Linked DNA regions of Tribolium castaneum. The protein of the gene in region 6 purifies or fractionates together with the protein of the main gene of each other region. This does not show direct contact. Links are inferred from orthologs where the notes say so. Each region holds a gene or a part of one and is shown on either strand. Other genes may lie near its edges.

The links.
Region 1: the proteins of holn1 (region 6) and Prp3 purify together in Homo sapiens (affinity purification with mass spectrometry; 3 studies listed by BioGRID and IntAct, with this or other methods). This does not show direct contact. The link is inferred for Tribolium castaneum from reciprocal best matches to the Homo sapiens genes CD2BP2 and PRPF3.
Region 2: the proteins of holn1 (region 6) and Usp39 purify together in Homo sapiens (affinity purification with mass spectrometry; 5 studies listed by BioGRID and IntAct, with this or other methods). This does not show direct contact. The link is inferred for Tribolium castaneum from reciprocal best matches to the Homo sapiens genes CD2BP2 and USP39.
Region 3: the proteins of holn1 (region 6) and U4/U6.U5 tri-snRNP-associated protein 1 purify together in Homo sapiens (affinity purification with mass spectrometry; 4 studies listed by BioGRID and IntAct, with this or other methods). This does not show direct contact. The link is inferred for Tribolium castaneum from reciprocal best matches to the Homo sapiens genes CD2BP2 and SART1.
Region 4: the proteins of holn1 (region 6) and SmD1 purify together in Homo sapiens (affinity purification with mass spectrometry; 3 studies listed by BioGRID and IntAct, counting the BioPlex papers as one, with this or other methods). This does not show direct contact. The link is inferred for Tribolium castaneum from reciprocal best matches to the Homo sapiens genes CD2BP2 and SNRPD1.
Region 5: the proteins of holn1 (region 6) and Prp31 fractionate together in Homo sapiens (co-fractionation; 3 studies listed by BioGRID, with this or other methods). This does not show direct contact. The link is inferred for Tribolium castaneum from reciprocal best matches to the Homo sapiens genes CD2BP2 and PRPF31.
Region 7: the proteins of holn1 (region 6) and SmE purify together in Homo sapiens (affinity purification with mass spectrometry; 3 studies listed by BioGRID and IntAct, counting the BioPlex papers as one, with this or other methods). This does not show direct contact. The link is inferred for Tribolium castaneum from reciprocal best matches to the Homo sapiens genes CD2BP2 and SNRPE.

The regions. Positions count from the first base shown.
Region 1 is NC_087397.1:1,257,151-1,261,836, reverse strand, and holds the start of Prp3 (U4/U6 small nuclear ribonucleoprotein Prp3), read right to left. Parts: upstream 3,054-4,686; coding exon 2,172-3,053; intron 2,118-2,171; coding exon 1,874-2,117; intron 54-1,873; coding exon 1-53. Other genes in the region: migration and invasion enhancer 1, read left to right, coding at 3,315-3,343, 3,401-3,662. UniProt on the Homo sapiens protein: Plays a role in pre-mRNA splicing as component of the U4/U6-U5 tri-snRNP complex that is involved in spliceosome assembly, and as component of the precatalytic spliceosome (spliceosome B complex).
Region 2 is NC_087394.1:36,569,587-36,574,331, forward strand, and holds Usp39 (ubiquitin carboxyl-terminal hydrolase 39), read right to left. Parts: upstream 3,085-4,745; 5' UTR 2,941-3,084; coding exon 2,865-2,940; intron 2,818-2,864; coding exon 2,779-2,817; intron 2,728-2,778; coding exon 2,467-2,727; intron 2,157-2,466; exon of another isoform or gene 1,913-2,156; intron 1,452-1,912; coding exon 322-1,451; 3' UTR 292-321; downstream 1-291. Other genes in the region: leukocyte receptor cluster member 1 homolog, read left to right, coding at 1-21; facilitated trehalose transporter Tret1, read right to left, coding at 3,112-4,481.
Region 3 is NC_087395.1:24,229,037-24,233,764, forward strand, and holds U4/U6.U5 tri-snRNP-associated protein 1, read left to right. Parts: upstream 1-1,928; coding exon 1,929-2,106; intron 2,107-2,153; coding exon 2,154-2,800; intron 2,801-2,852; coding exon 2,853-4,220; 3' UTR 4,221-4,534; downstream 4,535-4,728. Other genes in the region: APC7 (anaphase-promoting complex subunit 7), read right to left, coding at 1-270, 522-1,670, 1,718-1,786. UniProt on the Homo sapiens protein: Plays a role in mRNA splicing as a component of the U4/U6-U5 tri-snRNP, one of the building blocks of the spliceosome. May also bind to DNA.
Region 4 is NC_087394.1:7,020,140-7,023,321, forward strand, and holds SmD1 (probable small nuclear ribonucleoprotein Sm D1), read right to left. Parts: upstream 1,449-3,182; 5' UTR 1,308-1,448; coding exon 1,294-1,307; intron 1,191-1,293; coding exon 839-1,190; 3' UTR 718-838; downstream 1-717. UniProt on the Homo sapiens protein: Plays a role in pre-mRNA splicing as a core component of the spliceosomal U1, U2, U4 and U5 small nuclear ribonucleoproteins (snRNPs), the building blocks of the spliceosome.
Region 5 is NC_087395.1:18,107,318-18,111,885, forward strand, and holds the start of Prp31 (U4/U6 small nuclear ribonucleoprotein Prp31), read left to right. Parts: upstream 1-1,476; 5' UTR 1,477-1,571; coding exon 1,572-1,908; intron 1,909-1,961; coding exon 1,962-2,785; intron 2,786-4,568. UniProt on the Homo sapiens protein: Involved in pre-mRNA splicing as component of the spliceosome. Required for the assembly of the U4/U5/U6 tri-snRNP complex, one of the building blocks of the spliceosome.
Region 6 is NC_087402.1:7,512,541-7,515,902, reverse strand, and holds holn1 (CD2 antigen cytoplasmic tail-binding protein 2 homolog), read left to right. Parts: upstream 1-1,730; 5' UTR 1,731-1,768; coding exon 1,769-2,713; 3' UTR 2,714-2,760; downstream 2,761-3,362. Other genes in the region: Etf-QO (electron transfer flavoprotein-ubiquinone oxidoreductase, mitochondrial), read right to left, coding at 2,780-3,362. UniProt on the Homo sapiens protein: Involved in pre-mRNA splicing as component of the U5 snRNP complex that is involved in spliceosome assembly.
Region 7 is NC_087394.1:32,141,420-32,144,268, forward strand, and holds SmE (probable small nuclear ribonucleoprotein E), read left to right. Parts: upstream 1-1,397; 5' UTR 1,398-1,614; coding exon 1,615-1,899; 3' UTR 1,900-2,048; downstream 2,049-2,849. Other genes in the region: kelch-like protein 21, read left to right, coding at 2,168-2,301, 2,351-2,510, 2,556-2,849. UniProt on the Homo sapiens protein: Plays a role in pre-mRNA splicing as a core component of the spliceosomal U1, U2, U4 and U5 small nuclear ribonucleoproteins (snRNPs), the building blocks of the spliceosome.

The DNA.
Region 1 (4,686 bases), on a different chromosome or scaffold from region 6:
GCGCTCTTTTTTCGTCAGGAATACTGGCATGTACACAGGCTTGATGGGGTCCGCTGTAAAGAAATGTTTTTTTTTTATTTAATTTAAAACAAGTCGTAACTAATTTTTCAGAGAAAAATTTTGCTTAATTTGGTCAAAAATAATCCAAAAATTTACGAAAATGTTGTAATGTTTCTCTTTCCAAGCGTTTAACCCCATCTTCGCTAAACTCGACCAAAAATTGCTAAAATAATAAGCTCAAAAAATGGACAAAAACGAGGTTCGAATGTTTTAGCAAGTTTGTGAGCTAGAAAAGCAATGATGTCGACAAATTTATTCAAAAATGAGCTCAAAAATCATCAAATGTAAGGTTTTTGGCAAAAATTCACTACCTGGGACCCAAAAATCACTTAAATAAGGTCAGGAAATTAAGGAAAAACACATTTATTGAGAGTGATTATTCCGTTGAATTTCTGCAAAAATAAGCTGGAAAATCGTTAACTTAGGATGTTGTTTTGTTTTCGAGGGCTTAAACGTGTTTTTAAGATAAGAAATTAAGTTTTCTTTAGCGAAAATTCGCTAACTGTGACTCAAAAATAATTTAAATAAGGTCAAATATGACATTATTTTCTTCTTTTTTGAGCGTTTTAGCGCAAGATTTTGAGCCAGAAACAATTATTTCGAAGAATATCTTTACAAACAAGCCTAGAAATCGCTAAATTATGTCGAAAAAAGTATTTCATTTGCTTTTTTCGACAGTTCAAAGACGTTCTTGAACTAAAAACTTTTTTTTTGGAGAAAATTTACTAACAAAAGTCACTAAATATGGTTGAAAATGGCATTATTTCTTCAACTTTCGGGCGTTTTGACACGTTTTTCAATTAGAAATAATTATTTCAAAGAATTTCACTAAAATAATCCGAAAAGTTGTCAATTTAGTGAGGAAAAAAAATCACTAAATAAACCAAAAATTACATCACTCTCGATCATTTCGATTGTTTTAACACATTTTTTAGACAGATATCCAATTATTTTGGTAAATTTCGGTCAGAAATAAAATGAAAATCGTCAAATTATGCTGATGTATGGTCAAGAAGACTTAAATTTTCGCGAAATTTCGCTAAACATTGCCAAATAAAGACTAAGTTAGGGCAAGTATTACATTATTTTTGCTTCATCCGAAGGTATAACAAGTTTTCGATGAATTTCTTCAAAAATAAGACGAAAAATCACCAAACTAGATAAAAAAACAGCGTTATATTTCACTTTTTTCAAAGACTTAAACAGATTGTTGGAATAAAATAGTTTTTTTCTGCAAATGAAGCCAAAAATGACATTTGTTTTAGCAAGTTTTTCAGTCAGGAACACAATTATTTAGGGGGATTTCAATTAAATCAGACAAAAGATTCAATAATTAGCTCATTAATAGTTTTTTTTTGCTTTTTTCGAGGCCTTTGCGTGTTTTAAACGAAGTTGTTCCGACGAAAATTCAGTAAACAGGATCCAAAAACACTGAATAAGTTCAAAAGTGAAATTTTCTTTTACTCTTTCAAGCGCTGTAGTCCGTTTTTTATCCAGAAACATACTTATTTCAAGGGATTTTATTAAACTGAGCCGAAAAATCGCCAAAGTAGGTCAATAAAAGCGACAGAATAATCAATAAAATAAGTAAAAAATTCTAATGTTTTGCAATCAGTTTATTTGTTTCACAGAATTCCACCCACAATAAGCCGAAATTTCGCAAAACTGAACCAAAATTATCATTATCATTACGTTTATTACACCAGAAAAATTCTTATATAAGAAACCGAGAATAAATCACATTTTTTTATATAACTCAACGTATTTCCCGACGGGAGACTGAAAATAAAAAAATAAAAATAGTTGTTCTTACTTGGACACCTCAGCTGGGTTGGATGCTCAACCAACGTGGTAATTACAGATTCCTTTATTGCGATTTTCCCATTGAGCATCAAATCTAAATTATCGATCAAAATAACGGAATCCCACCACTCCATCTGCGGTATGTCCTCAATCACCCCCTCAGACTTTGCAATAAGCGCAAGCTTAGTAGCCGACGAAATGCCGGTCTTTTTCGCAATTTGTGAAATTTCATTTTGCAGTTTTTCCAACTGGGCCTGAAAAAAAATTCATTATGACCCAACACACTTCCACAAAAAACCCAGACATACTTTCATACGAAGCCGCTCGGCCTGTTGTAAAAATTTGCCGGGTTCGTGGAACCTAAGCTGTCTTTTGTTCCGAATCGGCGGCTTTATCCCAATTCTCCCATCGTAAAATTTCATTTCGTTACTGTCGTCCGTTTTATCGCTCAACTGCGTCCTGAACTGTTCGCGCTTTTGGGCCCTGATGTTGGCCTTAAGTGTTGGGACAACGTGGGTCAGTTGCACCGCTTTTCCCGTCTTGTCGATGGTCCTCCCTTCGTCGTCCAGGATCAGGGGGGTGGGCCTGTTGGGCACCACTGGTATTTGTATGGCGTTGGTCAAAATCCCGCTGGAGAGCTTGCTCTTGATCTGGGCTTGCAGTTGCGCGATTTTGCGGGCCTTGTCGGCGTCGCCCCTGTTGAGGAGCCCCATGGGGATGCCGTAAATGCTGGGCTGGGGTATGTTCATGTTGATGTTGTTCTTGCCCAAGGCGAGCCCATCAATTAGGGCCCGCTTCCGCTCCTCGATTTGTTTCTGGGCGCTTTCCATGATCTCGCTCGATTTGGATTTGTTGCGGTCGGAGTCATGTCTACTGTCTCTATCGTCGTAGCGCGATTTCGAGCGCTTTGAGTCTCGTTCTCGGGAATCGTCACGCGATCGTTTTTTCGACCGATGCGAGGCATGATAGTCTTCGACTAAATCAAATATCTTTTCGGCTAGTCTTGTCGCCTTTTTGCTATCAACATAAGACGAAAGTTTGTCAGTAGTTTTGCGCCTATCGTACCCTGAATTTAAACAATGGACTGCGGTACTGACCAGGGAGCTATCACTGCTGCCGAGCAGTTTGTAAACGGCTTTGTCTATAGAGGGTTTCAAGTCCTCCACTTCTCGCCGGGAGAGGTACGACATTTTTGGCTTTTTTAACAATTATCAAGATACGATTTCCAACGTTTACACACACGATTTTAGGTTAGAAGTCAAAAATTGGACAACACCAACGGAACAAACTGGAAATACCCTATATCCCAATGACAATCCCCATGTCAAAATGACAATTAGGGGTTATGGGCATGTGACAAGTGTAAATAAATAAAAAAATCAGGAAGGGCCATAAAGCCATAGCCATAGAATAAGGGAGAGGCCATAATCCCTCGATTGGATTAACTTACAATGGGGGTTGAAGTCGATGTTGAGTTTTGGTAAAAAAAATGGAGATGGTTTAGTTTTATTTATATCATTTCAGAGATTATTTGTAGTGGGACTTGTGGATATTTTAAAAAGTTCGAAGAGTTAGCGCAGCATATTAAAGCCAAACACCCCGATATTGAACTGAATGGGCATGAAGGCAGGAGAGCCACATTTGAAGTTAAAGTCAATGGGACTTTGGTTCATTCTAAATTAACTACCCTTGCTTATCCTGACTATGACGACCTTTCTGCGATCATTGATGAAGTGGCTCAAGGAAAAGAACCACGAAGTTGTAAACAACAGCCCATCACCAGTTGCATAATAGCTTGATAAAAATTAATGTATTATTTATTTTTGTGAGTTTGTTGTGAAAATAAAAATATATGTGTAAAAAGGTTTCTTGTTACTTGCAATCAAAAGTCAGATAAACTGATCGCGTGACTAAATTTGACCAATCAGATGCTTAAATTCACCGCGGATTAACTTTTAACAAGGGATTAAGTTTTAATTTCTTTTTTGGCGGGCGTTAAAATTTGGAATGGCCTGTGTACAATATAATTTTATGCGTTATATTTTGGTTCCTTGATCCAAACATGAGAATAGATTTGTTTGGTCAAGCAGGAAGTGGAAAACAACTTTACAGCTGTAATAAAATTTTACGATAAACAGTGAAATAAGTGCAGTGTGAATGTAAATAAGTATGGAACCAAACTTACCTATTTTATATTTAGGAACAATACAAACAGTAAGTGTAAAATCTATTTTTATGCTGGGCTGTTGCAGTAGGAAGATCAGTCTGTATTGCAATAAAAGTCCTTGAAAATATCTTGGTCAGAGTTTTATGTCAGTTTTATTGTTTCTTACAAATAATGACATTTTCAGTGTGACTATACAAAAGTGTAACGAACTTGAATTCACCCAAACAATGGTAAAACAAATTTCTACGTAATATTGCTTGTTTCGTAAGTCGTGGAACAACTAAAAACAATTCAATTTTTGGAGAAAAAGAAAGGAAAATTGAATGGTTTTTAAACCTCACTCGCAGCGTTGTTTGTTGTAGGATTTGTAGTATTTTCGCAACAATTCGGTGAATAAATAAAACTGACAATATTTGTAAGTGTTGTATTGTGAGGTTGCAGTAGGAGCTGTACTGGGTACAGTCTCTTTACACATGAGATTACAAATTGAAAAAATGGAAATAAACCAAACAACCGGAACAAGGAAAGACACACACAACTACTGACAAAAGAGTTGTAAAAATACACTTACACAGCTGGAAATGAGACTTAGTAAAAAATACTACAGTCCCAAATTTTAATTTTTTAATTACTTGTTACAATTAAAACTCGCATTC
Region 2 (4,745 bases), on a different chromosome or scaffold from region 6:
GCAAGGCAGAATTATAAATAAAGATCTTAAAATCCAATTGCATTTCCTTATTTATTCACGAAATATTTTTTTAATCGAATAGTTTACCGAACTTATTTGAACAATGTCTCACAAAAAATTAATAATAAAGCATTCATCTTTTAAATATAACTAATCTGTATGTTCAAGAACTAAAGATTTGACTGATTTCTCAAAAGCTTTTTGACCAAATCAGGCCAAAAACAAACCGCTCTCTGGACTAAACGTTTCATTACAGAAAAAAATCAGGGAGGGACAAATAAAAGACAAAAATTCCGGTGATAGAATTTTATTCGTAAAAAATTACTTTTCTAATCTTAGCTCATAAATTTGTATATAAGCCTCCGTCAGCGTAATCATCTGCGGCAAAATATCCGTCACATGCAAGTCCTGCATCTCGTACCACTTGCCCGTTGATTTTTGCAAAATATGAACCCTGTAAGTGCCTTTCCCCGGCTCTCCATCATGCACAATATTCGCCACTAGATCATAGACCGTATGTTTATGTTTGGCCTTAACTTCGGGCGTCAAAAACTCGCCAAAATCAACATTCCTAACCGGAAAATTCACAATGGTTGGATTCTTCTCCACGTAGAACGTGTTCTTCGTAAACCTCTTAATATACAAGATTAAATAAGGCGGCAAACGCGTAATCTCAAACTTCTTGAGGAAATTCTCCTTGTAAGTCTTGTACTCCTTCTCGGTCTGTCCGTTGAACTTGGTGAGGAGCTGGTACAAGTTCACCTGGGGGATGATATTCTCCCGGAACTCGTCGATGAAGAGAGGCGGTGGAGGCAAGTCGCAGGTGAGGTACAAGAAGGGTGACTCGGTGATGATCTCCTGGTACTCTGGAGTTGACAAAAGCATGCGTTTCTGTCTGTCGTCAAGCTCGGTCGGTGGTATTTTCCTGGTGTAAATTTTCATGTTTCCGAGGAATGACTGGTAAATGATGGAACTGTTTTTCTTTTTATTGCCGTTAAGTGCCCGATGAAGTGCGTTCAAAAACCACGAAAGGAAATCAATGGGGTCGCCTTGTGCCGTAATTTGGAAGCGCTTTTTGCTCCACAAAACCACAGCTTGGAGCATTTCGTGCGGCGAAACGTGGGCTTTGAAATTTCGGGGGTTCCATAATTTACGCATCAGTTCACCGTAACGTTGCACCAGGAGGTAAGAGGAGTCACCTGGGGGGCGTTTTATCTTGCTGTAGTTCTCCTCACGGAGGAAGTAATTACGTAAAGGGACAACACGTGAAAGGGCTTGTAAAACAACATTACAGTAATCGTTCGCTTTTATGTTGTTTAAACCGACGATTCCTGGCATGTAAAGTAGGCCATCAATTGCTCGGGACATTTTTGTGCTAACGTCCAATGTACTGATGTGTTGTTCGGTAAATGTGGGGTTGAGCAGGTATTTAATGTCGTCGAGGGACGAATCTGTGAGTAATTTAATTTTGTTAGAAAAAAATCGTTGGAGCTTGAAATTAAGTGGCAACACTGATTACTGAAACCGAATACTTCCCCGAACATTTCCTAGTATTTGCTTTTTTCAATTCAGAAATTGACAACACGATTATCGAAAATAGACAAAAAACACAAAAATTAACCGAAAAACCACCAAACGGATTCAATAATTACATAATGTTTGTCTTTTCCGAAGATCCCAACTTGTTATTTCAGGCAGAAATGCCAAACAAGCCGCAAAATTACCAAATCAGGCCACAAATTATCTCATTTTTCCTTTTTTTTTAAGCCATTATGCATGTTTTTGAGCTAAACAGGCATTTATTTTACAAAATTCGTGAATTATGACATTGTAAAAACGTATAAATCCTAATCTTTGTAAAAAGTCTCCCAATTGAAGACTTCGCGCGAATTTCAAATCACGCGCGCTCAAGTGTCATTTTCAAATCAGCCAATGAGGTGCCGTTGGCGTGACATCAGCGTTAGAGTGAAGCTTGTCTGCCGAAGTGCGCGTCCTTTTGCTTTTGCGTGTTGAAAAACCGGTGTTTTGTGCGTGTTAAGTGGCAAAAACGACTCAAATCGACTTTTTATCGGAAATGTGACGTGTGTAGACTATCAAAGTGTGTTAGCAGCAAGCTGGAAGCCGGTTTTGAAAAAATTCAGTTAGACGACGCTAAGGTTAGTCATTTTTGTATTTTTTCCACGATTACTCGGTTTAATTCGAGTTAGTTTCGGTTGAAAACGCATACAAAACGATATTCAATAAAATGCCAATCGGAAAAATGCGACAAAACGAAGATTTCACTTTATTTTTGAAGGGGGGCGTTACTGGCATTGCGCCCTCTCAAACATTCGCGTTATTGAAACGATTTAATCTAATTCGGTGTAAAACTTCAGCTCGAATCAAGTGAGTTGGGTAAAATTGTTGAAATTTGAAGAAAAATGTTGCCAACTTAATTTCAAAACTACAATTGAGAGTATTTATTACCTATTATTTCATAATTGTCGGGCAAGCAGTAAAACTTCAAGGTGTGCAAGTTGAGGAAAACGTGGTGGCCTTCGGCCACCGAATGCGTATAAGCATGTGTGTTTGTGCCTCTACCTTGGAAATATTTTCCGCAAACAAGACAGGCATAAACGTTGATGCGAGTCAACGACACTGAGCACAATTTTTCGAAATCAAAGTCGAGATATTGCCGGTTGATTGTGTCCAAATAGGGGCACAGTCGATGCGTTTGGGGCTTCCCACCTGGAATAGACAATAATAGAACAGGGCGCTTTAATCGATTGATTTTTGTACCTTTCCGGTCCGAATTGTCAGAAGGGGGCTCAATTTCGGCTAAAATTGAACGTTTCAGTTGCGTTTTCGAGGTTATGTGTACTTACGTTGTGAGGAGTTTGATTTGGCTTGGGGCTCCTCGAACTTGGGCTTTTTCATGGCAGGTTCATCGTCCGCTTCCATCGTATTCACGCTTTTTTAATTAATTTTTGATTAAATCACGCTAGGACTGTTTTTGTGTGGTGTTTGCAACTTTAAGGTTATATTTACTGTCAACGGTGTCAATAATAATGTCAATCTGGTTATGCAATAAAATTCGAAATTGTAAAAAAATAAGTACTTTATTCAATAAAATTACGCTTTGAGACTAACTTTCTCTTCTTCGGCGCCTCGTTCATCACAAACTTCGACTTCCCCTCTCAGTTTTTTCTGGATGTCTTCGAGGGTTTTTCCTTTCGTTTCAGGCACAAAGAAATAAATAAAAACTAGTCCAAGTAGCGAACAAATCCCGAAACCGTAAAACGAGACATGTAGTCCGTATTCTACTTTAGTTATTTGTAAGTACTTGGAGGCCACTGTGGCCATCACACTGAAGTAAACATCGGCCAAACAAAGCGCAAAAGCTTTCACATTTGTGGGAAACAACTCCCCTAACATACAAATCGGGATTGACTGCATCCCTAAACTGAAAATTATCACAAAAGCTAGAAGCCCCACAACGGCCACGATCGAAAATGAGCTCGTATCAATGTCCGTTTCGTTCAAAAGATAAAAATAGGTCCCTTCGACAAAAAGGGCTAACGCCGACCCCGCCATTGAGATGATCAACAGTGGTCTTCGACCGGCCTTATCCACAATACTCGAGGAGAACATTGTGAGGAGCAACTGGATGGAGTAGTAAATCATCACAGCGTAATGTGCGGAAATGTGGTCCCCAGCAGTTTGGAAAATCTCATGGGTGTAGAAGGCAATAGCCGTGGTCCCCGCCAATTGCTGGAAGCCCCGGAGCCCCCCGATGATGAAAACGGCCTTCCGGTTGCTCTTCACCCGGAACAAGTCGACGAATTTCCCATTGTGCGACTTTTCCTCAGCCTGGATTGCGTTCCGGATTCGGTTCAAATCCCCGGAGACATTTTCGCGTTTTTTGAGGCGTTCTAGTGATTTCCGGGCCTCGTCCGCCCTCCCACGCATTAACAAATAGTACGGACTTTCCGGCATCCACAAGAATGTAATAAATAGGATTGCCGGCACAATTGAGGACACAAGTGCCGTGGTTTTAATACTAAGGTACGACCCTATCACATTTATGATGAGAAAACCGGCGATCCAGGTCACGGAGCAGCTGGAGCCGAGCATCCCTCGCACCTGGGGGTCGGCGATCTCGCCGATGTACATGGGGACGACGGTGAAGGTGACGCCGTCGGCGATGCCGGCGATTAAACGCGCGATGTAGAGGAGGACGATGCTGGGGGCGAAAGCCACCATTATCCAGGAGAGGAAGAAGGGGACGGCGGTGGCAAGGATGGTGCGTTTGCGGCCCAGGATGTCGACGATGGTGGCGGCGGTGAGCGAGCCGATGACCGCCCCCACCAGGGGCATGACGGCCAGGTTGGAGCCCTGGTTTTCGTCAATGCACAAGGTGCAAGTCTCGTTGTTTTTGAGCTGGGGGAGGCTGGGGGACGACCAGCCGTAGATCATGCCGTCGGTGACGATGGCCAAAGTGCCTGCGAGGAAGCGAAAGTGAGTTTCTCGATTTTGTAAGGATTGGATTCAGGTCGTTAAGTTTTTAGGGGTTTCTGGTTCAGGTAGAAGCGAAGGTTCAACCAGATGTTCTTTTGTTGACGAATGGAATGATGACCGGCGTATTCAATTACACAATCAATCAGTAATCATAAACAAGTTGGATAAAAAACTAAACGAGTTATCTTTTCGTCGTGCCATGCTTTCGTTGGGTTTGAACTTGTTTTGGCTAGTTTCTTAAGGTGGTT
Region 3 (4,728 bases), on a different chromosome or scaffold from region 6:
GTTGTAGTGGTGGAAAGCCTCGCTGTCCTTGTTCAAATTGACGTAGCAGTCGCCCAGCATCTGGTGGATGCGCGAGGTGGGGTGCTGTTCCACGTGCTTCAGCAGGAGCTGCCGAGCTTGGTCGTACTGCTGCTCCTGCTCGAGCAACTCCACGAGCATACAGACGGCCTTAGTGGAAAACGTCTTGTCTTGGCTCACGGCCTTCTCGAGGAGGTTTCGCACCGTTTTCCCGGACGTCATCGGGTCTTTGAGTAAAACGGAGGCGTGCAACTGCAGTGAAACTATTTTTTGTAATTGTTGTTATTTGAGGAATAAATAAGAAAACAACTTAATGGCGCCTAATCCGTTTCGACACCTAAAGCAAAGACAACGTCCCATCCCGATATTCCTCTCAGATAGCGCATTAGTTTGCCAGATGAAGGCAAACGAAAAAAAAGTGATACGTTTTTAAAATAATTCGTCCCAAAAAAACAGTCTAACAGCCAATTCTCTCTTTACCGTATTACAATTTTTTCACTTACCGTAACCGAATGTGGGCTGAAATTGAGCTGTTTGCACGCATTTTGCGCCATGGAGTCGGCCTCCCTCAGCCGATTCATCTTCACATAGCACTCGACCAAACACTGGTGCAAGTCGTATCGAAACGGACAGATCTGGATCGCTTCCGTGCAATGCTGGGCGGCATCCTGGTACTTGCTGAGCTCCACCAGCGTCTTGGCTTTCAGCAGCAACGCCTCTATGTTTTTGGGCGAGGCACAAAGCGCCTGCTGTGCGAAATAAACGGCTTTTTCGTGCCGTCTCGTCGAAAACATCAGATTGCCAATGACCACCCAATGCTCACTCGTCCACAGCGACATATCCGAGGTCGGGATCAAATCCTCCAAATACTCAACGTGTTCGGAAGTCCCCGAGCTCGCCAAAAGCGTGGCCAGTAAATCGCGACCAAAGACTAGGTTCTGGTCGAGTTTAATCGCCCGCTGGAGGACTGCAATCGCCGTCTCGTCCTCACACATGTAGTGGTAGCAGTAGCCCAGGTTGACCAGCAGCGACGTGTTGTCTTTGAGTAGACCGTGGCTGTCCATGCTTTTGTACGTTTGGGCGGCGTTTTCGAAGTCGCGCGAGTACAACTGGGCTTGTGCTTTGAGCCAGAGGTTTAGCCAGTTTAGTTCGGAAGTTGCCTCCACCATTAGTGCGTTGACTTCGACCCCTTTCACCCCCAGCTTGAGCAAGTTCTCCACGGCTTCGAGGGCCAGCGGGCACTCCCGGAGCACCTCCTTGTAGCACGTTATGGCCGAGCGCTCCATCCCGGCCTCCCTGTACAAGTTGCCGAGCGCCATGTTGACTTTGGGGGTCCGCAGGCGGGCCTGAATCGACTGCAGCATCTCGATGGCCCCATTCACCTGCTTCAGGGCCATGCAGCACTTGTGTATCTTGAACCTGATCTCCACATCGCTGGCCAGTTCGGGCTGACTCTCCGTGATTTTATTAGACATTGACTTGGTTTTTAAGAGGTGTTTGCGGAGCTGTAAGGCCTGGCGGTACAAACTCTCGCTTTGGGCGAACTGTTGCGTCTCGTACAGCGAATCGGCGTACAGCAACATCACCTGGAACTTCTGCAAAGGGGGCAAAAAGTCGGGCTTTTGCTCGGACGCCGACAGGGCCAAGTCGCACTAAAAGCACAGTTGGGGGCTCAGACTCCCAAAAGGGGGCTACAAACCACTCGGGAGATGTTCGAGTGCAGGGCAAGCTCGTACATCGCCTGCAATTGCTTCAATAAGTTGGTCATCTTGGCTTGGCAAATGTGGGGTTAGGTTTTTGAACTCGGCAAATCCCGTAACGGCGAAACCACCAATCCGGATTTCGCGCACGTCAAAACGTTGCATTGACGTTGTGTACGGTAGGTATTTCCTTCAAATTTTGTAAAAAGGATGGGTTCTAGTAGCAAAAAATACAAAGAAAAAGAGAAAGAGTCTCGTAAGCGGCGCCACCACAGCCCCGGCTACACCGACGAGCATGAGCCCCCGAAGGAGAAGCGCCACCGCCACAAGAGGCACCACAGGGACAAGAAGCGCGACGCGAGGGCGAAGCACGACTACGACAGCGACGGTAAGCACCCCGCGTCCAACTTTCCCGTTTGAATGATTTTTTGCCAGGATCCGACGTGATCGAGGTGATTCCGGACGATGAGCCTTCGGGCTCCGGGCAAAACGCTGAGAGTCTCTCGATTGAGGAAACGAACAAACTGCGGGCGAAGCTCGGCCTGAAGCCGCTCGATGTGAGTTCGGGGGACAAGTCCGAGAAGAAACGGGATGACGGGAAGAAGAAGGACGATTGGGGCGAGTTTTACCACAAGCCGGCGGAGAATTGGGCGGATAAGCACGAGAGGGAGAAGCTGAAGGGCAAATTGACAACGATTCGGGAAAAGCGCCAGCTGGAGAATAAGCTGGGCAAGGTGAAGCTGCTGGGGGACAGTGATAGTGATGATAATGTGGAGTCGTGGGTTGATAAGAACCGCAAGATTGAATTGGCCAAGAAGGAGGCTGAGAAAAGGGCGAAAATGTTGGAGGAGTTGGATGAGCAGTTTGGGGTCAGCGAGTTTGTGGAGAATGAGAAGAAGGAGAAGAGGAAGCAGAGATACACTGAGAGGAATTTGAAAGGGCTGAGGGTGGAGCATGATGTTGATAGCTTTGCTGAGGAAAGGGATGTTATCTTGACGCTGCAAGACAAGGGCGTCTTGGATGAAGACAAGGAGGATGTCCTGGTCAATGTCAACATGGTTGAGGACGAGAGATACAAAAAGGTAATTTGTTACAAATATTTACAGTGAATGATTATTTATCATCAAATTTCAGAACGTTATAAACAAGAAGAAGAAGATTTTGTATAACGCCTACGAAGACCAGGAGTACGACGAGTTTGGCAACCCCAAAGAAAAGTCGCTTTTGGCCCAATACGACGAAACAATCGACGGCGAAAAACGCGAAAGCTTCAAAATCGGTTACGACAATGCGGTTGAACGTAAACAAGCAATCGTGCAATCAATTAAGGAAAAACTCGCCAAAAAAAGAATCGAATCGATTGAAACAAAAGATTTAAAACTCGCATCGGAATATTACAACGACGAGGAACTGTCCAAATTTAAAAAACCCAAAAAGAAAGTCCGCAAAATCCGAACTAAGGGAAAACTGACCGCTGATGAATTGGAGCAACAAATTAACAACAAAGGCATCGAGGAAGTCGGCTCAAGACGCCCAAAGAAAGAGCTCGAAGACTTGACCATTGACGACATCCCCGAAATGGAATACCCCACGGACGTCAAACTCGAGGACGAGAAGGACGATCTCTTGGAAAAAGCGCTGCACAAGACACGCAAAATCAAACAGAAGGAGAACCTCGTTGCTGAGATTGTTAAATCAACGCCGGTTAAAAGCGAAAGTGAGGAAAACCTGGAGGGGAGTATTGTTCTGAACGCCACGGCGGAGTTTTGCCGCACTTTGGGCGACATCCCAACGTACGGCAAGTCCGGCAACCGCGAGGAAACCGAAGATTTGATCGATTTCGAGCGTGATCTGAAAGACGAGCCCGAAATGGACGAAGTCGAGCAGGAGGAGAAAACCGGCTGGAATTCAGTCGATCCAAACGAGCCGCACGAAAGCCCGCAAATTGCCCCACAAGAGGTGCAAATCCTCGACGAAGAGCCTGATGTCAGTACAGGGCTTGGGGCAGCTTTGAAGCTTGCAATGAGCAAGGGGTACCTGGACAAGGAGCAGAATAAGAGGCCGTCGAATTCGCGGTTAGCGCATTTGCAAGCCAAGCATTACTCTATCGAGGACAAGACCTACGGGGATGAGGGCGATCGCGCGAACCGCCGGGAGAGGTACACTGGCCCCATTATGGAGTTTAAGGAGAAGGATGGGTTTAAGCCCAATGTTAAGTTGGAGTATATCGACGATGATGGGCACGTGTTGAACTCGAAGGAGGCCTTCAGGTATCTCTCGCATAAGTTCCACGGGAAAGGGCCGGGGAAAAATAAGATCGAGAAGAGGATAAAGAAGGGCGTGCAGGAGCAGTTGATGAAGAAGATGAGTTCGACGGATACGCCCTTAGGGACTTTGAATATGCTGCAAGCGAAGCAGAAGGAGACGCAGTCGCCGTATGTGGTCTTGTCGGGGAACAAGCAGAGCCAGCAAACGGCGGTTATTTCCAAAAGTCGGCGTTAAGTAAAATGACTAAGAATAAATAAATACTATAATTTTGTGTGAACAAAATTCAGCGCTACTCTAAAAAGAAGTGGCAATTTTAAATTAAGGAAAACTGGGCATCATTGTAAATTGTATAAATTGTTTCATTTTTATCAGTTTTTATTTACAAAGTCCTAACGAAAAGTGTTACGAAATGTTTTTGTTTTGTAGATCGTTTTTAAGGGACGGGTACGATAATGATAATGGTTTTATGAATAAGTTTTAAAGTCTGGCTCCCTACGAGTACAAACGGTGTAATAATTTTTGCGATAAATGAAATGAATTAAAAGTGAGTTCCGTGTTTTAATTAGAAATTACCAATTTCCCATATTTTCCAACAAAACGGTAATAAAGGAAAATATTGAACAGAAAGTTATAGTTAATTAAAAAAATAAATGGTTGATGACCAGCTCTCGACGTGACCTTTCACGTCACTTCCGTGAGCACCATTATCAGTCATGATTAGGATAGGGATTGCACGGTAATC
Region 4 (3,182 bases), on a different chromosome or scaffold from region 6:
AAATTGGTAGGTACCAAGAAATTAATGAACCCAAATTTATTCATTACCAAAAATCGAGCACATAAATACCAAAAAAGCTTTAATTTAGACATCACTGTTATGCAGGCTTGTAATGTTGGTTGCATACTCGATGGCAAGCAATTTCTATATTTATTTTGATTTTGAGAAAATATTTCTTATCTCAAATCTGAATGAGTGATAATGTTTTAGCTTTAACTTTTTGTATTGAAAGTAAGAGAATGTTCCTAAATTTGTAAAATAATTATTAATATAAAAAAAATTGAGGTTAAATAAAGTGATAGTCCATCTGTTTCTGTATTGATAGTCAGTGTTTAAGACCACCCGAAAAATGGGGCTATCTTTAGGAGAATGTTCCGTCATGAAGGAGGTAATCAGTAAAACGTTAATTTTACCAAACTCATTTAACCATTTGTAGATAACAAAAACAGAAGAAGCAATCAAAGCCTGTTACGTGAGGGTCCAACTTTTAGAAAAAAAGATCGAATCTGATGAAATCCCCAACGAGAAAAAAGCCGACATGAAGAAAGAGTTACGAGAAGTTCGCAAACTTTTAACCACAAACGAAAACCAACTTTCACAACTCCACAGACACAATCGAAAATCATTCGCATTTGTAGCCGCCTTCTGTTTTGTTTGTTTCACAGTTTACGTTTTATACATTTTAGTACAAGGTCCCGATTTTTAATAACAAAGACATTTTAAACCTAAATATGTTTTATTGATGAATTTAGCAGAATTATAAAAGTTTTACAAATACTGGAACTAAACGAAAAGATTCACACTTACAATTACGAAACTTAATTTAATGAACGTATTCTTATCTACGCCCTCTCCCTCTGCCCCTGCCTCGGGGGCCCCCTCTGCCACGGCCCCTCCCGCGGCCTCTGGCAGCCCCCCGGGCGCTCTCCTTCTTCTTGGCCTTGGCTTTGGGGGTGTCGTCAATCAGCAGAGTCTCGAGGGGTAAACTATCGGGCAAAATGTAGTAACGAATGTTGTTTCCTCTAACTGTTAGGGTGTCTAAGTTCACAGGATTTCGGTTCTTTACAGTCACTTTTACAGCTTTTAAGTGCGTATTCATGGCCACATCTACACCGGTTATAGTGCCATGGACTTGTGTGCCGTTTTTCAGCTCCATTGTGACCGTTTCATGGCTCAGTTTCATTAAAAACCTGAAAATGGCCGAAATGTTAGGTTAGGTGGTTTTTCAGGAGTTTTACTTGGAATTCAAGGAAATAAAAACGTGTCTGATCAATCAGTAGTTTACGTTCTCACCTTACTAATTTCATGTTGATATTTTTGGTGTAATTAAGACAATTTTTATATTATGCCGGCAAAACACGCTTGGCTTACGTTTTTTTACCCCCCCTCTTCCATAGAGGGAAAGAGAATGAGCATATAAGAAAGAGATGGCAAGAAAACTTGCGAAGGGAGCGCCACTTACGTGGCGCCAATTTTAAATCGTTATTTTTTTTATAGGTTTGCAGATAATTATGGACTCTGAAAATAAAAACAATTCTTTATTATTTACTATTATCACAGCTATTATCAAAATAACCTTGCTATTGGCACGTAGTAACAATGAAATATTTTGCTTTATACAGTCGAACTTCGATCACCCGAATAGGCCGTTGCCACTTCAAATCATCTTTGTAGAATACAGTGGAATAATACTTTTGTTGAGTTCAAGTGATTCCTGTTATTATAATATGAGCAATTTTTTTAACTAATCCAACAAAGTGTTTACCTTAAAAATCTCAACTCTCTCTAGTGCATCTAGTGTTCTTGTTCTTAATTTTTATTAGTTGCGTGTTTTTAGTTAATTAATTAATTAAACAAAAATTCGTGTTATAAAAATTTTTCGAATTCAAAATTTGAAATTGAACAAAATAATTGGTGGAGTCGGTTTATCCCCGTTCGGGTGACAGGGGTTCCACTGTATGAATACATTTTGCGGAGAAAAATTTAAGATTAGGTCGATTATATAAATTATATGTTAATAAGAAGTTAGAAAATACTTATCTGAAAAGTTAAAAAAAGTAATTTTTGACTTGTTTTCGCCTAAATTATAACTATAACATGAGAAAGATACGTTTTTAGTTTGACAGTTTTTGAGTGAGGCTTCAAAATTGCTGAAATTATGTGGACACGATTATAATGGGCAAAATTAGATTATAGGATAAGAGGGTTAACCTACAGAAATTTGGGCATAATTATTCACTGTACATAATAACCCCACTCTCCCCTACCTAAAGTATTTGAAAAACACTTGTTACTGATTAATTTATGTTATTTATTACAATATTAGAATAGATAACACAAAACTAGTAATAATCATTTTCGCAAGATCTCGGGTCCGGTCGCAACTCTGACCTCTGTCGAAAGAACTGAAAAATTCCGGTTAGTTTTAAGTTATCAAATGACTACGTTGCAAGTACAAGTTTATTAGTACAATTTTATTAAAATGTTACTTAAATAAAACCATTTTTACCCAAAAAATTTACAAAAAGTCATTTTTGGATACAAATTTTCTAGTTTTACTTTTTTGAATTATGTTAAAAGACTAGGTGGTTATTTACCAGTGAACGATCGATTATGAAATTTAAATAAAAAAAAGGATAAAATTGGATTATGAAATTAATAATAAATTAGTGTGACTCAATAATTATTAATTTTTTGTGGCAACAAGCAGTGAAAACAGTGAAAACACTTGGCTAAACTAATTAGTTACAAACTAGATTAAAAAAAGTAAGTTGTAATATTTACAAGTTTATTTTTTAATTCGTAGGTATATTAAAACTGTCCGTTCCTGCTCTGATGAGGTCATTGTAGAAGAAATAAATTTTTTTTTAAATTATTCTTCGAAACAAGAAATATTTTTAAAAAAGGTATACTTGTACAGACTGTTCAAAAATGGTTGTTCAAGTCGACTAAGGAATTTAAATTCATTGAATCACTTCGTTTAAATAACTTATAATCTCTGCATTTTGCATTTTTCGGTAAGAGACCGGAAGAAGAGATAATAAAATATTTAAACATTACCAAAAAAACTCATATTTTTTTTAATCTCAAACCCTCTTTAACCACAAACTTATCAAATAAAACGAGATCAAATACCACAAAAAATATAGAGGAAAGAATAAGAAAGGCTTTCTATAGAATTG
Region 5 (4,568 bases), on a different chromosome or scaffold from region 6:
CAACGTCGCATTTTCTCTCAAAATTATAACTAATGTAATTTATACTTTCAATGAGAGATCGAATCGTTAATAACTATTTTACATTTCTATACTTATTCAAATTAAGAAGTAATAGAGATTTGTGGTGATTGTGATTAACTGATTACTGACTAGGTTCAATAAATAAAGGAACAAATATTTATTTATTAGAAGAATTTTAAGTTTGACATAAAATGTATGTATTAAAATGACATAATAAACATTTTCGTATATCCCAAAACCTGAAGAGTTTTTTAAAAAACTGTACTTTTTTAACCCAAATTTACAAATTGTGTAACTATACTGTAACTTTATATTCAAACAAATTAATACTGTGTGATTTTCTAAAATATTGGTCTAGTTATCCGTGACAGTTACGTTAACCCGATCTCCATTACGGAAATAAGATTCCAACATATTTTTTTTGGTTCTTCGGTGAACATTTTAGACATATTGACAAATAAAGCGATGCTAAAGTTATTTATGCAAAATGTTTCATTGATGACGTATCTGTCATGGATAACTAGATCAGAATTTTAAAAAGTCGGTTGGTAGTTTATTATAATAAGATAACAGATAAATTGCTTCGATTTGAAGCATTGAACTATCGTAGATGCCAAATAATTTTTAATTTTAAAAATGATCGCTTCCCTGTTGAATAGAAAACGGGTAATGAATAGGAATTAAATTATTTATTAAAAGATTTTCTAATATATTTTGTGGGTTTTTGCAATTATTTTCTAAAAAATGAATCTTAAAGCGTTAATTCCGTTAAATAAATCGGAAACCATTTTTAAGCTTTACGTGTAAGTCTTTACAATTTTTTGCTGTCTAAATCTTCTTAAAAAATTGAAGTTATTCACAAATACAAATGCATCGTTTTTAAAAAGAAGACACAACTTGATCCAAAATTTAATAAGAAAGTAAATTTTTTAAATATTTCTGTCATCTACCACAACTTCGTTAAGATGAATATAAGGTGTTCGTTTGTAGTCAAAAAGTTTTATTTCTTTTCTTCGGCATACAGTTTTATTCAATCCGGTTTTATTAAAATTAGTTGGTGCTTTGGCGTCCTCTGACTCCTTTTTATTTTTATTTGTATGCTTTTTTCCATTTATTTTTGTTTATTTTTAAAAACAACTATCTTAATATTCTAATTTAAAATGGTATTTAAAAGAGCTTTTGGCGAAGCAAGTTTGCTCTTATGTTCTTATAGTTATAGTTTTTACCAAAAAGTTGACTAAAATAAAAAAAAAGTTTTTTTTATTTAAATAACATGGCTTGAAACTACAATAACAACTGTTTTTTTAGTGATATATGTGTCCGGAAAAGTACTCTTTCACGGACTATATTCCGTCCCTTCACTAATTAATAATTATATTGTTTTTTTTCATTATCCCCAAATTAATAAGCAGATTATTATAGACAACCAGTAATTCAGCCCCACATTACAAGTAATCTATGGACACTTGTCAATTTGTAAACTGCATTTTTCTAACCTCACTTCCAAGTGTTGTGTGAACGTTTTGGAGTTACGTTTTTAACTCGCTAAAATGTCTTTGGCCGACGAATTATTGGCTGATTTGGAAGAAAACGATCAAGATGATTTGGAAGAAGCGATGGAAGTTGATGAAAAACCGGACATCAAAGAAGAAAAACCCGACGTTAAAGACATCCAGTTAGAGGTAGACACAACTCAAATAACTTCAGTCCGAGAGTTGTGTAAATTACGGGACTCGCCCCATTTACATGAAATATTGAAACAAATCGAAGACCATGTGAAGAAGAGCCGAAAATACCACGACATCATAGGACCAGTTGAGTTGGACCCTGAGTATCAACTGATCGTCGAAGCTAACAACATTGCTGCAGATATAGACGCGGAAATTGGTAAGAGTTACGATTTTAACCAAATCAGTTGAAACTAATCTGTTTTATTGAAGCCACTGTCCATAAATTTGTGCGCGACAAGTACCAGAAGCGGTTCCCCGAGTTGGACTCCCTTGTTGTTGGTCCTTTGGAGTACTTGAAGACCGTCAAAGAGCTCGGGAATGACTTAGACCAAGCCAAAAATAATGAAATTTTGCAACAATTCCTAACGCAGGCAACTATCATGGTTGTCTCAGTCACGGCATCCACGACACAGGGGATTCTCCTAACGGACGTCGAAAAGAAACAAATCGACGAAGCTTGCGACATGGCCATAGACTTGAACAACTTCAAACTGAAAATTTACGAATACGTTGAGAGTCGGATGGCTTTCATCGCCCCCAACTTGTCGGCGATTCTTGGGGCTTCGATCGCCGCCAAGCTCATGGGGGTTGCCGGGGGTTTGACCCGATTGTCCAAAATTCCGGCCTGTAACGTGCAATTGTTGGGCCAACAGAAGAAGGCATTGTCTGGATTTTCACAAGTGAATATGTTGCCGCACACTGGTTTCGTTTATTACGCAGATATCGTGCAAAATACTCCGCCTGATTTGAGAAGGAAGGCTGCCAGACTTGTTGCCACTAAATGCACGCTAGCAGCACGTGTGGACTCGTGTCATGAGAGTAAAGACGGACGTATTGGGCGGCAATTACGCGACGAAATTGAACGAAAACTGGACAAGTTGTTGGAACCACCCCCAGTTAAGTTTATCAAGCCGCTGCCGAAACCTATCGACCAGTCCAAGAAGAAAAGGGGCGGGAAAAGAGTCCGCAAAATGAAAGAGAGATATGCGATGACTGAGTTCAGGAAACATGCCAATAGAATGAACTTCGCTGATGTAAGTTTGGTTTTTCTTGTATTAAATTTTTCTAGTATTGAAAATATTTCTTACATTGAAAATTACACAATATTGTTAGCCAATCTACTGTTGAAGCAGCATTATAGTTTCATTAGATTTTGATAACATACTAGAGATCACAATCTTCTTTGCAAAAAGTTTTCTATGGGTTTGATGAAAATGCAGTTTTATTATTCTCTTGATACTTACAAGACCGGTATCAATAAGTTGTAACGAATAAGCGAAACACATAACTTCAGGTGTACCCCAGTGCTCAGTTTTGGGCCCAATCCTTTTTTTAATTGGGGTGTTCGATGTTTTAACGAAATAACTCCAGTTTTAGTCTTTTTGAGAAAAATATAGAAACGTATGCTATAAAATTTTCTCTTTCAAATGCAATAACTGGTTTTGTAATCGATTGATTTATTTTAATGTCATTAAACAGTAACAGTTGTTATAACACCGAAAATTTGTGGACATTTATTCAGTGCAATAATGAGATAAGTCCATCAATCGTTTTTTTACTAGTCTAGTGATTATTGTTAAATATAATGTATTAAAGCTTCCGTATTATAACTTATGTCAAAATAAGTTTAAAAAAAATAGAGACAAAAATGCAGTAGTAACATTGAATTGAGTTAAATTTTCACGGGTTTTTAAAAACCAAACGGCTTTCAATTTGAAAAAAAAGCGGTTTCGTCTGTAATTCTGTACTGCATTCCTCCTCTTCGCGTTTTATACTAATTTTTATTTATTTATTTTTCAAACAAAATCGATTACCATGATACTGAATGGAATCAAATAAACAATGATCTAAAAAGAATAGCCAAACATTGCAGTAATGTTAACTTAAAACTCAATGAAAATAAATATTCAGTCTTATACTTTGCATCTAAAAGTTGTAAATATTTTGAAGAATAATATATTAATATTTATATTATTAGTAATAAATTAAACGTTCTTGCAAAAAGAAAATCTCTAGGACTTACATTGACAGTGGAAAACACATTATTCATTATCAAAAAATGGTTCATCTCCTTGAAACTCTTACGTTCTAATTATCACATTCAGATTTCAAATTGAGAAATAAACTTATTGAAACTTTGGTAATTCTCCTTTATCTATTATTGCTTTATAATCTTATCCTTGTTTAAATGATGTTGATAGTTGAAAATAGATTATACAAAATTCAAAATATAATGTTATATATACAAAATTCAAAATATAATGTTATATTTTGAATTTTGTATCTTTGGCTTAAAAAAAATGTGATTACATTTCTAAGGTCGAGTTGTATCATCTTTAGTCCTGATTTAAATCCCTAACAATTATTCTCATAACAATGGCTATGGGTTTAATCCTGAAATTTTTTATACAACTCGACCTAAGTGTGTTTCTGACTTAATGTTGGAACTTCGGGATAAGATACTTGAGACTTCTAATAAAAGTATATTTAATATGAAAGTAAATCGAAATACAAAATGACGGAATTGATAAAAATATACACGGCACACTCTTATAAACAAAACTGTGGTTCACACGGAAACGAAACGCGACTCGTGAAACTTAGATGTCCAACACTTCCCCTCGAGTCGTGTGTCGTTAGAATGAATACTTCCAAAAAAAAAAAATTCATCCTTCCACTAAAACTTCTGGCAACTATCCTAACTATTGATAACTTGTAGTCCCGCTGCATTTACACTCCAAATATGTTTTTGTTTAGCGAGTCCTTTAGTTAGGAAATCAGCCACTTGCTGTTCTGTAGAGATATGCTCGAGAGATA
Region 6 (3,362 bases):
AGGCAACTATCGCCGCCGTCGGGACGCTCCTCCACCCCAGCGCAGTTTTTACCGGGTTTAACGGCCCTTTGCAGAGTTTATCACCTCGATTTATGGCGGTACGCGCAGTCTGCGTCCATATTACTACAATATGCGCCGGCGAGACAACCAATCAATGTTTTGTAATCTCATTCGTCTTCAAGCACCAGACGCGCTTAATGGATCCCTCACTGATTACTTCTTTTACAACGCTTGATGATAAGTGATAACGCTAATTTAATGCCTCTATAAGAAGCATTTTGTAACCTTTTCGCTGTGTCCGGGGGCGGCAACAGATAAAAATACATTTGAACGCCAATATTACGAACGCTCGAATGTAACAAACAAAATTGAAAGTCCCGTTTTATATTATAGTAAAAAATCAGTTCGGTTTTAACGAATAATTGAACCTCGCTTACAACGAATGCTGGCTTTTAACGTCCAATATTTAGACAAAAAACTGGTCTAAACATTTTCGATATTGCAGAATGATTTCAAAAGTGAAACATACCTTAAAAACAGCTAAGGTGTTAAGTACAAACACAAATCATTAAATAAATAAAATATTTGTTATAGGTATACATATGTATAACTATGAACTCATGTAATTATATAGCTTTTAATAAAATATAATCATACTTTATTTCATAACGTATATCTATCTTAAACTTTAGAACTCATTTATCTTGAAAATTACTCCATATGTTAAAACGAACGATCGGTTACAACAAACAAATTCGGAAGTCACTTAGGTGTTCGTTGTAACTAAGTTTCACTGTATTATTAATTGACGCGCTTGTAGTATTTATGGCTCTACAATCTTGCATTAGGTGTAACTTAATAAACTTAAAATACAAAATTAATTAATTTTTTTTAATATCTGAACTTTTTTTAATCAGTCAATCAAATAGCAAATTCAGTTCTAGCACAAATTCTCTAAAAATGCAAGATAATTCTGAAAATCACATGGGAAAACCTGAAACAATTCTTAGTAATGTCACCAAACATGTACTAGGTATTAAATGTTCTCATTTATATTCTGAGATATGTTAAAAAATCAGCCTGTATTTATTTATGAAGTTTTAAAAAAAAAAGCGTAGCTATTTTGCACTTTTTTCTACAATATTAGTTGTACGTGTACGTTGTCGCTGACTTAAAAACTTTTTCTGTAGATATTTGCATTAGGTACTCAGGCTTGTTCTCTGTTTACTTATTGTGAATTTAATATAATATAATTTGAAACTATTAAAAACATCTTAAAACTCATTATTTCAACCATAAAAAATCAGAACCTTTAGTTTGCAATTTATTTAAAAAATAAAGCTTGTAACAAAAAAATTCTAAAATTCTGTCGTTCTGGGCTATAGCCCATTTTCTCCTTATGTAAATATGCGACTGCTAATAAGTAATGAGAGCATAAGAGAAATTCGTATTTGCACGTATTTGGAGGACATCTTTTTTGAAACACACAGTATAAACAAATTTTAAAGTAGCTTGTGCCATCTCTTGGATAGTTGCCAAACATACCATTTCAATTTTACAGTTTTTCTTAACTTTTTGGGTTTTTTACAATATATTTTTGAGTTGTTTATGTTTTAGTAATAAGCGTGGTGAAAAATTTGCGGTAAAAAAAGCTGATTATGATTATTTCCAAAAAAAACAAATATTAAAAAATTTAACCGTGGATACAAACCAAAAGTGCAGATCGGTTTTGAGAGCATGCGTGTTGTTTGTTTTGCATTTGTCAAAAATGTCAAAACGAAAATTCAACGAAGGCGATTTTTCGCAAAATAAGCGGCGCCAGGTGAAGTTTAACGCAAAAAAACATTCCTTGGATTCGGACGAAGAGGACGATTACGATGAGACCGCTGAAGAGCTCAACGCCGACGACATCGAGGGCGAAGAGGAGGGAATTTCGCGTCAGGTTGAAGGGGTCCGGATGACCGCCTTCAACATGAAAGAGGAGATGGAAGAAGGGCATTTCGACAAAGAGGGCCACTTTATTTGGAACAACGAGAAGGAAATACGGGATAATTGGTTGGACAACATCGACTGGCATAAAGTCAACAGTGACGATAAGTACCAGTTGGACCCCAACGAGAAAGGCTTGGGGGCCGAGAGTGATTCTGAGTCGGAAGCTGAGGATTTCGATGAGGTCGGTTTGTACAAAAAGATGCTCAACTACATGAAACCCAAAGAAACGGTCAACAAGTGTTTGAGGCGGTTAGGGGGCGATTTGAAGTTGTCCAGTGTCGAGAGACTGAAGCGCAAGAAGGCAGGGACTTTGAATTCGAATCAGGATGTGGCGGACATGACCGAGATCGCGAATAGTATATTAACGAAGACGGGGAACATGAACGTATACCAGGAGACTTTTGAAGAAATTACCAAAAAAATTGACGACCGAACGAAACCGAAAAACAGTGAGCCTGTTCTGGACATGTATGCTGACGACTTCGGCGACAAGGAGAAGGAGAAGATGGAGACGGCGTCAGTGTCAGGTAAACCAGAGCAGTTAATGTGGGAATTTAAGTGGGACCAAGACAAGGACCAAGTCGAGGGTCCGTACGACACCTCACAAATGTTAAAGTGGTCCAAAGAAGGGTACTTCAAGACGGGAGTGTGGGTGCGTAAGTGTGGCGAACAATCCAACTTTTACACCTCGAACCGGATAGACTTCGAGCTGTATGACTAACAGTGTTATAAAAATTTTATTATCAATATACATAAAAAGTCAAGCAATTTGCTTAAAGGCACTTAATTACATTCCGTTGTAAGCCGGGCCGCCACCTCCTTCGGGAACCACCCAGTTGATGTTCTGACTCGGGTCTTTAATATCGCAAGTTTTGCAATGTATACAGTTCTGGGCGTTGATTTGCAGCCTTTGACCGTCCCCACTTTCAAGCGGGACGAATTCGTACACTCCTGCTGGACAAAACCGGCCTTCAGGCCCGTCATAAATGCCCAAATTTTGCTTAACAGGAACGGTATCGTCCTTCAGGGTTAGATGCGGGGGTTGGTCACCTTCATGATTGGTCCCAGTCAGCGCAACGGAAGAGAGGAGATCGAAGCTGATTTTACCGTCAGGCTTCGGATAATCGATAGGTGTACAGTCTTTGGCCGGTTTGAGTCTCTTGTAATCGGGATCGCCATGTTTGAAAGTCCACGGTTCCATCCCCCCAATCATTATGGAAAATCCACTGTACATCACTCCTCCATACATCCCCAAAGGATTATGGAAGCTGGGTCGTACGTTCCTCACCCGTTTCAAGTCTTTCCAAATGAAACTGTTCTTAACTTTGTCTGGATAGCTCTTCGGTTCAAAACCTTCAGTTTCTTGTTTT
Region 7 (2,849 bases), on a different chromosome or scaffold from region 6:
TAACTAAAAAAGAAATAGTGACCTAATAGTGCACTTAGAGTCGCCCTGACTGCCTATAGAGACGCTGTATCTCTATGCCATTTGAGCATTTGAAAATTGGGAAAAAACACTCAACCCCTATGCACAGATTTCATATAAATGATCCTTTGGTCCTTTGGGATCGGCTAGGGCTCATTAACATCAATTTTGTATCGTTTTGGCATTAATTTTGAGATTTTTCTCGCCTAATTCTAGTTTTTGGGGCTATTAAGACTCAAACAACACTTTACACTTCATCACAGTTTGGAAAATATAAATAATATAAATAAAAATAATCTCCGGTGCAAATAAAAAAATTAAGGTTCAAAGAGGTTTTGGGCCGCAAAGGTGTAGCACTTACCTTACCCAAATTGAAAAATGTGTCTTTTGAGCCGGTTTTTCCCCGAGTATTCTCCATAAACACAGTCAAGGGGCAGGTCGTTGTGCGCATCGCGCCAGGTCACAGTCTGCGCGCCCGCACTTTCAAATTCACAAATATTCCACAAAAACAGGTGCCCCACTTTGCATTTTTGAACCACCCAGTCCAAATAATCACTAGTTTCGTTCGATTTTCTGAGAGATAACAACACTGACTGACAATCACGCGATGACAACTGTTAAAAGCAGCATCCATTTGGTGCAAAGTCAAAGCACTCTTGGCAATTTTTTCTTAAGTGTGATTTCAGGCATTTATCTAACTTTTTGAGCAAAATAACCCTTCCTATTCAGTAAAGAGTTGATTTAAATGTCGTTTCACATCTTTATATCGAGTTTATAGCTTGTCGTTTTTTTCTTTAAAGTCACGTAAAATTATCCCGCCAAAACCAAAATTGTGTCATTAAGGGTAACAATGACAAAGAAAGACCTATTGACGATTGTGTGTGTGTAAGACACGGCGCAACTCCTCATATTAGCTATTTCAAAACTATAAAAACGCCAACCTCGTATTTTCTCTCAAAATTAGTTGTTATAAATTATTTATGCACTTCAAAAAACTAATAGGTAATGTTATTTATAGTCTCAATGATTTATTTATTAATAACTATTTTACATTTTTATCAACCTTATTAAAAAAAAATTGAGTTTATGAGACACCAAGTTCAAAAAAAATATATAAAAAACTATCACGTCAAAGAAAGCTAAATGAGAATAAAAAAAATTTTTTTCGAGACATTTACGCCCATCTGATGATAATTATGGAATAACTCAGCTTGATTAGTTAAGGAAAACCCAAAATATAAATTGTGCGACTATAATTCTGCGTGAATAATTTTGGAAAAAAAATGGGACGTTGGTGTTTTTATAGTTTCGAAACAGCCTAAAAACGACCAAACCACCAGACCTTTTTCTGGTGTATTTCAGCTCGTCAAGCTTCCCGCGTTCCACGATTGCCAACAGAATACAGAACTCACACAGATAACCTTACTTTGGTCGTATTGTAAGCGTCGCCTCATTTTTTAAGTTTTATAAATACTATTGCAAACTTTGAACAAGTTTTTTTCTCTTAATACGAATAATTCGTGCTGTGTGAAAGTGTGTTTGCACTTAGCTTCCTTAAAGAACTTTTTTTGCCGGTAACCCAAGACTCCTCTAACCATGGCGTACAAACCACAAAAAGTTCAAAAAGTGATGGTACAACCCATCAACTTAATTTTTCGTTACTTACAAAACCGTTCACGTGTACAAGTGTGGTTATACGAGAACATTAATCTGAGAATCGAGGGGCACATTGTGGGTTTTGATGAATACATGAATCTTGTGCTGGATGATGCTGAGGAATATTACGTTAAAACGAAGAACAGGAGGCAGCTGGGAAGAATCATGCTTAAAGGAGATAACATAACGCTGATACAGAACGTGAATCCTCAATCAGGCAATTAGTTGTAAATTGTAGCGTAATTCTAAGTTTCATAACAATTTTTTCATTCGTTGGAGTAATGTGTTTGTATGAAAACCGCAATTGGTCTTAGTATTAAGTGATTCATCAACTTTCTGTAAAAGAAATGCGGACATTAAAATTATTTTAGTAATTATGTCTATTTTTATAACTTCAAAGTCCTTAAAATTAAAATGTGATGGACAATACAGGTAATTATCGCTTTTTTAGAATTGTGAAGCTTGTAGGTGTTCCAATATATTTTTTTTGTAGGGGGTAAAGCTGCGACAGGTTTTGTCGAACGTTGCGTCAGCTACATTGGCGAAAATGCTGTAGAATGTGTAAAAACAAACTCATTTCTTTCTCTTCCCAAAGAAGCAGTCTTAAAATTAATCTCCTCAGATTATGTAAGTTTTAAAATTTTACTTAAAATCATTTATTACTGTTTCAATTTAGCTCTGTTTGGAGGAAGAGGATGTCTGGAGAGCAATTTTAAACTGGGCAAAGTACCAAGCTGGTGTCACCCAACCCACAGCCCATTGGACTGAAGAAGAGAGGGCCAGAGTGTGCCAGCACCTCTCACATGTCATTTCTCACGTCCGCTTACTTCTGATTGGTAAATTAAATTTTTTTTTTCTCTTATTTATTTGTAATATTATAGACAGCCAAGTTTTTGCCGAAGAAGTTGAACCAACTGGAGCCGTTCCAATGGAGCTCAGTTTGGAAAGGTACAGACATGCTGCGCTTCCTAGTAAATATCCTGAAGGAGCAGAGGACCAGAGACTGCGTCCAAGGGTATCACCTCACTTATTCCCGGGTTCGCTAATTCTGGGTCAGGATAAGAGTCACTACCAAAGGGTGCTCAATGCCTGGTTCGGTAATCCCAAGCAGAGTTGGAGACTTATTTACAGGGCTAGCAGTCATGGGTACTCTGCATCGGCTTTTCACAGACACT